Linked DNA regions of Alligator mississippiensis. The main gene of each other region encodes a partner of the protein of the gene in region 3 in a complex. Links are inferred from orthologs where the notes say so. Each region holds a gene or a part of one and is shown on either strand. Other genes may lie near its edges. The genes, in order: TIMM10, AGK and TIMM10B.

What was found.
Region 1: the proteins of TIMM10B (region 3) and TIMM10 are in contact, whole or in part, in a cryo-EM structure (PDB 7CGP), measured with the Homo sapiens proteins. The link is inferred for Alligator mississippiensis from reciprocal best matches to the Homo sapiens genes TIMM10B and TIMM10. Residues at the interface, in NP_036324.1 of Homo sapiens: Gln7, Leu11, Leu14, Arg15, Phe17, Leu18, Leu19, Tyr21, Asn22, Arg23, Met24, Thr25, Glu26, Cys28, Phe29, Val33, Pro34, Ser35, Leu36, His37, His38, Arg39, Leu41, Glu46, Leu49, His50, Ala53, Gly54, Ile57, His61; in NP_036588.1 of Homo sapiens: Ala6, Leu9, Leu13, Glu16, Met17, Asp20, Met21, Arg24, Ala28, Lys32, Cys50, Asp52, Arg53, Cys54, Ser56, Lys57, Tyr58, Asp60, Ile61, His62, Glu63, Arg64, Met65, Gly66, Lys68, Leu69, Leu72, Asp76.
Region 2: TIMM10B (region 3) and AGK share a complex: the UniProt entries of both Homo sapiens proteins name them as parts of the TIM22 complex. The link is inferred for Alligator mississippiensis from reciprocal best matches to the Homo sapiens genes TIMM10B and AGK.

Annotation. Positions count from the first base shown.
Region 1 is NC_081825.1:172,675,191-172,678,935, forward strand, and holds the start of TIMM10 (mitochondrial import inner membrane translocase subunit Tim10), read left to right. Parts: upstream 1-1,143; 5' UTR 1,144-1,222; intron 1,223-1,498; 5' UTR 1,499-1,544; coding exon 1,545-1,615; intron 1,616-2,138; coding exon 2,139-2,340; 3' UTR 2,341-3,745.
Region 2 is NC_081827.1:110,420,801-110,424,545, forward strand, and holds the start of AGK (acylglycerol kinase, mitochondrial), read left to right. Parts: upstream 1-1,462; 5' UTR 1,463-1,550; intron 1,551-1,668; 5' UTR 1,669-1,670; coding exon 1,671-1,855; intron 1,856-3,745. UniProt on the Homo sapiens protein: Lipid kinase that can phosphorylate both monoacylglycerol and diacylglycerol to form lysophosphatidic acid (LPA) and phosphatidic acid (PA), respectively. Does not phosphorylate sphingosine. Phosphorylates ceramide.
Region 3 is NC_081824.1:483,432,195-483,434,858, forward strand, and holds TIMM10B (mitochondrial import inner membrane translocase subunit Tim10 B), read left to right. Parts: upstream 1-1,431; 5' UTR 1,432-1,535; coding exon 1,536-1,571; intron 1,572-1,654; coding exon 1,655-1,750; intron 1,751-1,831; coding exon 1,832-2,011; 3' UTR 2,012-2,030; downstream 2,031-2,664. Other genes in the region: ARFIP2 (arfaptin-2), read right to left, coding at 1-2, 125-346, 426-541, 838-946, 1,031-1,129; DNHD1 (dynein heavy chain domain-containing protein 1), read left to right, coding at 2,137-2,177, 2,272-2,403, 2,528-2,664. UniProt on the Homo sapiens protein: Component of the TIM22 complex, a complex that mediates the import and insertion of multi-pass transmembrane proteins into the mitochondrial inner membrane.

The DNA.
Region 1 (3,745 bases), on a different chromosome or scaffold from region 3:
AAGCCTTTTCCTTAACCTTTCTCCAGTCACTCCTCCTTGAGCAGAGTCAAAGCTTGAGGAAGCCTGGAAACCTTTTGGGGACTGCTATGAGTGAGCACAGCAGGCTGCTAGGCAGCAACCTTGACCATAGAAAGCTTGGGCATTAGTCCTAAAGAGGACAACTGTATATGATTGTGGAGAGGGGAGGCACTTTGTAACTGTTACAGTAAATAACAAGTGTTATTGCCTCAGAAATTAAATGTAAAACAAAACTAAAAGCCACAGCACCTTCCCCCCCACCCTGCCAGTGCCCCTTGCTCCCAACCCACAGCCATGCTAAGCTAAACTGACTTCTTTGCTGTATTTGCAGACAGGCTGGCCGTGCTGCCGGCCGTAGCATAAGGGAAGTCTCTCGTTAGCTCCCTGACGTCCAAGTCATCGCTGTGCTTCTTCCATGGCCTGTGCGAGGGATCCACGACCCTTGTGATCCCGGGTCCCCCGGTCGTGCCAACTCCTGCCCCCAAAGTCACACAACTAGCTTGTCTGACTTAAACTCCAACCCCGACTCATCACCTAGCATCACGCTGAACCACATCGGAGCACCTGCCTCCCCTGCCAACACCCCCGTGCAGCTGGGGGCCGCCCTTGGACTGCAGCGGCCGCCACGTCTTGCACGAGGAGCAAGAGCGGCTCAGGGCAGGAAAGCGCCCCCTCGCCCCTGGGGACCCGCACGAGGAGAGATGCTGCACGTGGCGCCTCCAGGCTGCTCCGAGCAGGGGCCCTGCAGGAAATGCAGGCTCCCTCCCCGGTTGCTTTTGGGGCTGGGGAGCGCAGGGCGGGGACGGCTGTGTGCTCTCGCAGAGGACAATGCTTCCAGCTGTTCAGTGAAGCGGTCACATCCACGCCGAGGCCCAGACGGCTTGCAGCACGCACATCCCGCCAGCTCTCCCCGGCCCCCAGAGGCACGTCAACCCCAGCCCCCGCGTCCCCATGGCAACATGCCCCGCCCCACTCCCGGCTAGCCCTCCACGCCCCTGGAGTCCCACCCCCTGCCCGTGCCCGCTCCCGCTCCTGCTCCCTCCCAACCCCGCCCCCGCGCGTCTCTGTGGTTGGCAGGCCGGGCCTCCCGATCCCGCCCAATCGCTGCGCTGCCGGAAATGACGTTCTCCCCGCTCTTTGAGCCGGGGAGGGGGGTGCCTCCTTCCCGGAAGTGCTGGTGGCCCCACGTGGTTCCGGCTGGCAGGTGGGGTGGAGGTGGCCTCCTGCCCTCGCCCGGCCCCTGCGCACGGGCATGGGGCGGCCGAGGCGGGAGGGGAGCACGGTGCCAAGGCTGCTCCCCTGCTGGGGTCTGACCGCGCTCCGTGCAGAGGGTGCAGGGGCTGCCCCGTAGGGAGGCGCCGCCAGCTCCTCGGGGTCCCCGCGGCCTCGGGTGCGCTGGGGTCGTCGTTGACGCCGCCTCGGGTGTAGCTGGGCGCTGCCCGGGGCTGGGGCAGCACTGACAGTTTTTGTGCCTTTCCAGGAGATCCCGGCCCTGCCTCAGCTGCACGGGACGCGGAGCTTAGGCGATGGATCCTGTGCAGGCGCAGCGGCTGGCAGCGGAGCTGGAGGTGGAGATGATGGCTGACATGTACAACAGGTCATGACCCCGTCCAAAGACCCCTGCAGGGCTCTGGGCTTTACTCCGTGCTCCTAAGCGCCTGGGGGGAGGAAGAGAGAGGGAAATATCTGCCTGTGGGCTGTTGCAGGCCACAGGACTCCTACTTTCAAGTGCAGGAATATCTCATGTGTCCATTTCCTTGCTGGGGGGCCCCTGCAGGATGCATCACCAAAGCTGTGTGTATGTGAGCAGGTTCCTGGAGTTGAAATGTCAGAGAGCCTGTGAATGGATGGAAATACACTGGTCGAGCTATGTGGGGTGTATGGATCTGTGATGGCAAGGGGATGGGGCTGCGGAGTGTGAGCAAGGCTGTGTGCATATGGAAAGGAAAGCCTAGGATGCAGTAGCAGGGGAGGTGCAGTGGCCATTTAAGGTATCCACAGAGCGGGGCGGGGGAAGAACTAATGTCTGGAATGGTTGCTGTGCTGTGTGTGAAGGAGACTGGCCTGGTGAGCAGGGGCGTGTAGAGATTCTCATAATGTCTCCCTCCTTTGTACCCCAGGATGACCAATGCCTGCCACCGGAAGTGTGTCCCCCCCCACTACAAGGAGGCTGAGCTCTCCAAAGGGGAGTCTGTATGCCTGGACCGCTGTGTCTCCAAGTACCTGGACATTCATGAACGCATGGGCAAGAAATTGACAGAGCTCTCCATGCAAGATGAGGAGCTGATGAAGCGGATTCAGCAGGGGGCTGGGGCGGTTTAAGAATCCCTCTTCAGCTTTGGACAGCAAGTGTGATAGGCCCTGAGTGCACTGGACTGCCGCCTAGATTCAGCCCTGGGTCCCCTGTCAATAAAGCCTTGATAGTTTTGTATGAGCAGCACTGGGCCTCTGCCTTCCAACAAGGGGATCCTGTGCTGAGATTCGCTGTTTAGCTGTTTCCTGCTGAGTGGATGAGGTCCTATCTCTGCCCTTCCCAGATGATGCTCCTAGTGAGCAGCATTGTCCCAAATAGGGATGAGGTCCCAATCCTATCCTAGTGGTGTCTCTTTATTGACTAATGGAGCAAAGGCTTGATCCAGGGTAGTTTGTGATGAAGTGTCCTCTTGCAGGAGGTCGGGCTAGAACCCTCGTCCCAGCTCTTTTACCCCTTTGATAGCATGATGGATTGGCTGCAGGGGGCACTGCCTCCAGGTGGATGTATATTCCCTATGGTATTGTGCTCATCAAATCTCCATGGTACTCTCACAGAGCAGCATGCCCCTGTCAGATTTGAGTAATCCCCTCCTGGCTGCAGTTTGCCTTTCACTTTCAGCTCCAAACTCTGTGACAGAGCCTGTTCCTATTTTCTGTTGGGCAACCCTTGTCCTTTTCCCCCCTCCCCCCAGAGATGGCTGCATTTTTGTTCGGGGAGGCAAACTGCTGGCTGTAATCTGAAGAATTTCCTTGCAATCCTTGATGGCTGTAGCTGCTATGTGTGGCCAGCAGGGGGCATGCTGCTGCTGGGGAAAGCACATGGGAGTTTCACTTGGCTTTCAGTTCATGGCTTTAGTAAATATTTTTACAAGCCTGGCTCCTAATTGGTGTTTTCCTCCTTTCTCTCATCCCAGTTTCTGATTTGTGGTTAATTACACGGCAGCTCCATTTAGCCTGAGGGTGAAGCTTCTAATCCCAGTGACCTCCAGGGAGTGGCTAGGAGTTATTTTTACTGCATGCAATTCAGTCCTCTTGGGGCTCAGTCTGGTTTTCCTGGAAGATGCTGCATGATGATTTCCTCAGAATTCGCTGGCAGGAAAAACTATGTGTACAGCAGCTTTTGTTTGCACTGGGGACTATGCAGGCACCTGGGAGGGGGATTTTGAGGTTGGCTTGGGGGTACGGACAGCTATAGCAAGGCTGTAGCAGCAAGTGAGGGTAGGGGCTGTGTTGGAGGAGACTGAGAGGGGGTTGCATGAGGCTAGGGATAGCAAACAGCAGGGGGAAGGCCTTACTGGCCTGGCTTTGTCTAGCTCTAGCCTTTGATTGTTAGGGCGAGAGAGCCGAGAGGGAGCACAGCAGGGGTGGAATGGAAATAGGGATAGAAGTGTTTGGAGGTTAGAGAGACGGACATTGAAGACTATATGGACTAAGCTCCTTGGGGGTGGGGAGGAGCAGGACCCTCAAAGCCTAG
Region 2 (3,745 bases), on a different chromosome or scaffold from region 3:
GAGTGGCCAAGGTCTGGAACGGGCTCCCAAGGGAGGTGGTGCTCTCCCCTACCCTGGGGGTCTTCAAAAGGAGGTTAGACGAGTATCTAGCTGGGGTCATTTAGACCCAGCACTCTTTCCTGCTTATGCAGGGGGTCGGACTTGATGATCTATTGAGGTCCCTTCCGACCCTAACATCTATGAATCTATGAATCTATGATGCACATGGCCTGCAGCAGTGTGCTGATTGTCATGTGTCAAAGGATGTTATGCGGCCCACAGGTTGAGAACACAGTCTGCGGACCCCCAGGGGTCCACAGACCACAGGTTAAAAACCAGTGTTATAGGAAATTCTCTTCAGGTTTCAGGCATGCCTGTTGCTGGTCACAACCGTTTCATTGTTGGCCATAATGGCATTAAGCACAGAAATGGACCTAGAAAGAGAGCCCTTCACACTCCCTCCAAAACACTCCTGTTTGTCATTCTGTTGGATGACTAAGCCATGGAGCTGATTTATCGTGGGCAGCACATTGGGTTTGTAGGATGACGCGCTCTTGGAAGCCACATGAATTTGTGGGTATAAACACAGGTGGCAAGGGCAAGGATCAGACCTTGGCTTGAGGGACTTGGCAAGACATGAACATTGGGTTAGGAAGACCTTGGAAAGAGATTTCAGCAAACCAAGGAGTCTGGAGCAGATTGGGAAACACGTATGTAACAAGACTGGGGTGTTGCAACTCAGTAAGTGCAAGATGCGGCCCGTAACTCGAAGTCCCACAGGGAGTCAGCCCTGGGGCTGAGACCACATCTCAGGCCTCCCGATCCCTTGTTCATAGAATCGTAGAAAAGCAGAGGTGGGCTCGGGAACGGATGTGTCCCCCCATCCTCTTGCTAAAGGTGGCAGTTGGAGAGGAGGGTCCAGTTTTCTCCTACTCTGTCCTCTATTGACACGAAACCCAACACCTTTATGTCTTCTCTTCAAGAAACCTGATGGAAAAAAGTCTTTGCTAAATCAGCTCTCCATTCAAGAGAAGAACAGAGGACATAAAGGCATCGGGTTTTGTACCAACAGAGGACAACCGGACTGTCCTCTATGATGGCCCCCTAGCTCACGCTGGCACAGGCTGGAGGGGGAGGCCGTCTTCCTTGGATCTCTCCATTGTATTACAACAATCCTGGCAGCTGCCGGACCTGTCCCCATAGCGGGCCAGGCACTTGCGTCAGGGTTGCCCGGGACAGTGGATTTGCAGGGGCCGGTTGGACAGGGCCGGCCCAGCCTGTGGCGCGGCTTGGACTAGGGGCCCTGGGAGTGGGGGCGTCTGCGCCCAGGGTGTGCCAGGGTGCGAAGAAACAACCCCCAACACCGCTTTTCCTGTCAAAGCAGCAGCGGCTTGAAACAGGGGGCCTCAGGCACTCACCCAGCGTCTTGGGTCCGGCGCCGGGCAGGAGCCCAGCCGGCTCCACCCCCCGCGGCCGGAACCACAGTGCGGCGGCGCCGCTTTCCAGCCGGGCCGCCGAGCGCGACGTACCGCACCGCACCGCACCGCGCCGCCTCGGCCGGGGGCTGCCACGTGGGTCGCGGGGGCCGGCGGGACCCTGCCCGGCCGTGGGGGGTGTTTGGTTGGGGGGAGGGGGTGTCGGGGGGTGTGTGGGAGTGCGTCACGTGTGTCCGGTCTCGCTTCCTCGCAGGGATGAGGAGCAGCCCGCCTCCTGATTCCTGCTGTGCCCTGCGGAAGTGGCCCGGCCCGGCCCGGCCCGGCCCGAGCATGGCCCGCGTGGTCGGGATGTTTAAGACCCTCAGGACCCACTGGAAGAAAAGCACGGTGGGGGTCTGCCTGTGCGCCTGGGGAGGAAGCTGGGTGTACGGCAAGCACTGGTAACTATGCCCTCCCCCTTCTGCCCCCTCCCCCAGGCTTGAGACAGGAGGCATTGGGCAGATAGATCTGGCAAGCGGGTGGCGGGAAATGCTGGTGGTTTGGGAGGCTTGAGATAGAAAGGGGCTGGGGGCAGCCTGCTGGGCAGTGGCAAAGCTGTCCTTTGCTAAAGAGGTTTCCCCCCAGTGGCCTGTGCTCAGAGAGGAGCTGCAGCAGCTCGGCCACAGGGAGTGTGGGTGGGCACTGCCGTGCTCTGAACACTGCCAGCAGGGATTAATTTTTGGCTTTCTTTTTAAAACACCAGGCCCATTTAAAAAACAACAACAACATCAACAACAACAAACAAACTAAAGCGATCAGGGAGATATTCTTCTTCTATTTCCAGACAGCAGGTCCCATTCTCTGTTAAGACATTGCCCTTTTCGTGGGCTTGTCTCGGTGTGTACTGCTTGAGTTTTCTTCTTGTTGCTGTTATTTCTCTCGGTCTTCCTTTTCTTCTAACGTGGTTCGAGCGGGCTTGGCCTCGCTGGAGCATCTCTCGTTCCCAACGCTTTTCTGTTTTACAATGCTTTTTCAAAGCTCGGGAATCTCTTTGTGATGATCGCTGTTCCTGTTCCACTAAACTGCACTCCAGAGAGGGCAGGTGAACGTAACTGCTGACTTCCAGAGAGATTTCATAGACATTAGGGCTGGAAGGGACCTCGGAAGATCATCAAGTCCAGCCCCCTGCCCAAAGGGCAGGAAGTCAGCTGGGGTCATAGGATCCCCGCAAGTTAAGCATCCAGTTTCATCTTGAAGGTGTTCAATGTAGGCGTTTGAACCACCTCCAGTGGCAGGCTGTTCCAGACCTTGGGGGCTCGGACAGTAAAGAAATTCTTCCTTGTGTCCAGCCTGAAACGGGCTTGTAGTAGTTTATGACCATTCGACCTCGTCATCCCTTGGGGCGCTCTGGTGAACAAACGTTCCCCCAGATACTGGTGGTCACCCCTGATAAACTTATAGGTGGCCATCAGATCACCCCTGAGCCTGCGCTTTTCCAGGCTAAAGAGCCCCATGGCTCTCAGCCTGTCATCGTAGGGTCTGCTTCTCTGACCTCCCTGACCACGTGGCTCTTCTCTGGACTCTCAAGCTTCTCCACATCCTTTTTGAATTGTGGAGCCCAAAACTGGACACAGTACTCCAGCTGCGGCCTCACCAAGGCCAAGTACAAGGGGAGAATGACGTCCCGGGATTTGCTTGAGAAGCATCTATGGATGCCAGCCAGCGTTTTGGTCGCTTTACTAGTCATCCTGTAGCTGCTTTGTTGCGTGTTTGGGGTAGGTCATGGAGGGCCCTCTTAAAAGATGCACAGGCCCTCAGAGTAGCTTAGATCACATTTAAATGAGGGTGGGAAGATGAGATCTATTTTCTGCTCCAGCTAGTGAAATCCAGTCTGCAGACATTTGGTGGGGATTTCAAACAGCATTACAGCGGTCCTCAATCTCCAGCCTGCAGACTGGTGCCATCCAGCCTATGCGTCTCCCCCTAGGTGTGGAAATTGGATGGCAGAGAAGCAGTGACAGTGCTAAGAGCAGATTTCCAGACCCATGGAGGAGCCCTGTGGGTTAGATGACATGGGCCACAACAAAATTGCGTCCTGTGCACGGGGTCACTCTGCAAGAAGATCTGGGAGTGCAGAACTGGGATGGTGCAACAAATCACACCAGCAGAGCAACCCTGTGCATTGACCCCACCCGGGATCTGGCCCACAAACCAGCCCCATACCACTTGTTCAGCCCACAGGGCCAGATAAGTTAATCAGCACTGGTTTTATAGCAGTGAATAAAAATGTATGGTCTCCACCTGCAAATGATACCAGTAGCACAGACACTTGTGTAGTTATGGAAGGCAGT
Region 3 (2,664 bases):
TCCTGCGGGCACAGCGCAGGGTCAGGCCGACGCCGCCCAGCCGCCACCATGCACCAGCCATCACCCGTGCTGCGGGAACGGGAGCGGGGCCCGGAGACCGCGGACCCCGGGCTCCACCACGTACCTGGAGCTCGGGAGACTTCTGGCTGAGGTCGGAGAAGGCGTCGCCCAGGGCGTGCTGGGTCTGCACCAGGCTGTAGAAGTGGCTGGTGAGGGCGCGCGCCAGCTGCAGCACGCACTCGTACTTGCGCTTGGTCTCCCGCAGCAGCTCGATCTGCGTCTCCAGCTCCAGGTCCACGGTGCGCGACCCGCGCCCGAACCGCTCCGAGATCAGCTGCTTCGTGCACTGCGGGTGCGGGGGGCGTCAGCACTGCCGCACAGGCGCCCCCCCCCCGCCCCGCGGCCACCCCAGGGGGGGGACCCACCTTGTACGTGTTGATGCCCCACTTCTTAACGATGTCGAACTTCTCCACGGCGATGCCCCTGACGACCTCCTCGCCCGCGGCGGCGGGGCCCGGGTGAGGCGGGTGCAGGCCGGCGCCTGCAAGGCGGCGGGCGGGGGGGTGAGCGGGGGCAGGACCGGGGCGGGGGGGGTGGCGAGGTCCGGGGCGGGGGGCGGAGGGGGCCGGTACCTGCGGACGCGCCGGCCTGGCTGGCGATGGAGTCGCTGGGCGACACGGAGGGTGGCGGGGGCCAGCGAGGCCGTGCGGGACGGCCTGGAAGGGGGGGCCAGGCCGGGGGGGCGAGCGCGGGGTGAAGAGGGGGACGCGAGAGCGTGGCTGACGGGGGTCCCCGGGGCAGCTCGACCCCCACCCCCCGGCGCCCGCGGGCCCCCACCTTTGCCGGCGCCCGTGGGGATGATGCCCTCGGCCGTGCCGCCGTAGCCGCCGGACACGATGCTGGTCTCGTTGAGGTTGGGCCCCGACACCATCACCTGCTGCAGGTCCTGGGGGGGGGGGGGGGGGGTGCGGTGAGCGCCACCGCGGCAGTGCCCCTCCCGGCCCACTCCTCCCCTCCCCTCCCCCCGCACCTGCTCGAGCCCGTCGTCCTCGGCCAGGCCGCCCGCGTCGCCGTTGCCGTGGATCGGGATCTCCATGGTGGCCGCCTTGCCCAGCAGCGCGTCCGTCATCCTGGGGCTGGGGGGGGCGGGGGGGTGCGTCCGGCCGGCCCCAATCCTGGCCCCGCGCCCGCGGCCACGTCCCCGGCCCCGCCCCCACGCCCCGCCGGCCCCGCCCCCTGCGCACCTGTCCCCACCCCCACCCGGGCCCGCTCCCGCTCCCGCTGCCGCTCCGCACCTGCTCCGGCGCCGCCGGGTGCCCCCGGGAGGCCCCGATCCCCGCTCGGCTCCGGCGCCCCCCCCCGCACAGCGGAATAGACGTCAGAGCCCGGGCAGGGGGCGCCGGGAGGCGGACAGAAGTGACGACATACTGAAGCCAGCGCGCGGGCGGAAGGGAGTCCCCCCCTGACGCGGACGAAGGGCGGAAGTAGGGGCGGAGTTGGCGTCAGAGCGAGGGCGGAAGTGGCGGCGCGCGGGCATGGAGCCGTCGGCGGAGCAGCAGCAGCTCCGCAGTGTCAGTGCCGGGGGTGGAGGGGGGACAGGATGGGGCGGGTAAGGGAGGCGGGAGCCGTTGGTCCGACCCTTGCTCCGTTGCAGCTGCGGGATTTCCTGCTGCTCTACAACCGCATGACCGAGCTGTGCTTCGCGCGCTGCGTGGCCGACATGGACTGCCGGCCGCTCACCCACCCCGAGGTGAGTGCGGGCGCACGGCCCCGCCCCCGCCCCGCTGGCCCCGCCCCCTCGCGCTGACCCCGCCCCCTCTCCTGCCCGCAGGACTCGTGCGTGGAGCGCTGCGCGGTCAAGCTGGTGCGCGCCAACCACAGCCTGATGCGCGCCTACGTGCGGCTCATGCCCGCCCTCGTGCAGCGCCGCGCCGCCGACCTCGAGGCCGCCGCCGGGATCGACACCGGGACCGGGACCGACACCAACGTGTTGCAGCGGGCGCCGCAATAAACCGTCCCCCTTCCCCCCACTCCCCCGAGTCGGCTGCGGGCGTGTGGGCGGGGCCTCGACGGGGCGGGGCTCGCGCTGGCCCCGCCCCCTCCCGCGCCGCCGCTAACGGCCCCGCATCCGCCCGCATGGAGCCGCCCGACGGGGCGGGCAGCCCGGGGCCGTCGCGGTGAGCCCCCCACCCCCGCCCCGGAGGGTCCTGGGGGTCCCTGTGTCCAGCTCCTGCGCGGGGCGCCCGCGCTCACAGCCGCGCTGCCCTGCAGGCCCCGGCCGGGCTCCCCCCGCGCCGCGCCGCCCCGCACGGGCGTGCAGACCGCCGAGGCGATGGTGCGGGACAAGCCCCTGGGCAGGACGGAGGTCGCCTACCTCAACGTCGCCGCTGGCCGCCACTACCGGTAACGGGCGGGGCTGGGTCACGGCTCCCGGGGGCTGCACCCCCCCCCCAACGGCTCCCCGGGGTGACGGGCACGACGCCGCCCTCGCCGGGGCGCCCCCTCCTAGCCGTGCTGTCGCCCGCAGGCCGTACAGCCTGGCCGCGGTGCCCAAGGCGAGGGCGGCCCCGCAGCACTACGTCTTCTCGCCCTTCGGCGTGCTGCACGTGCAGCCGGGGCAGGGGGCCGAGGCGCTGGCGCTGGGCGCGTGGCACCGGGAGGCCG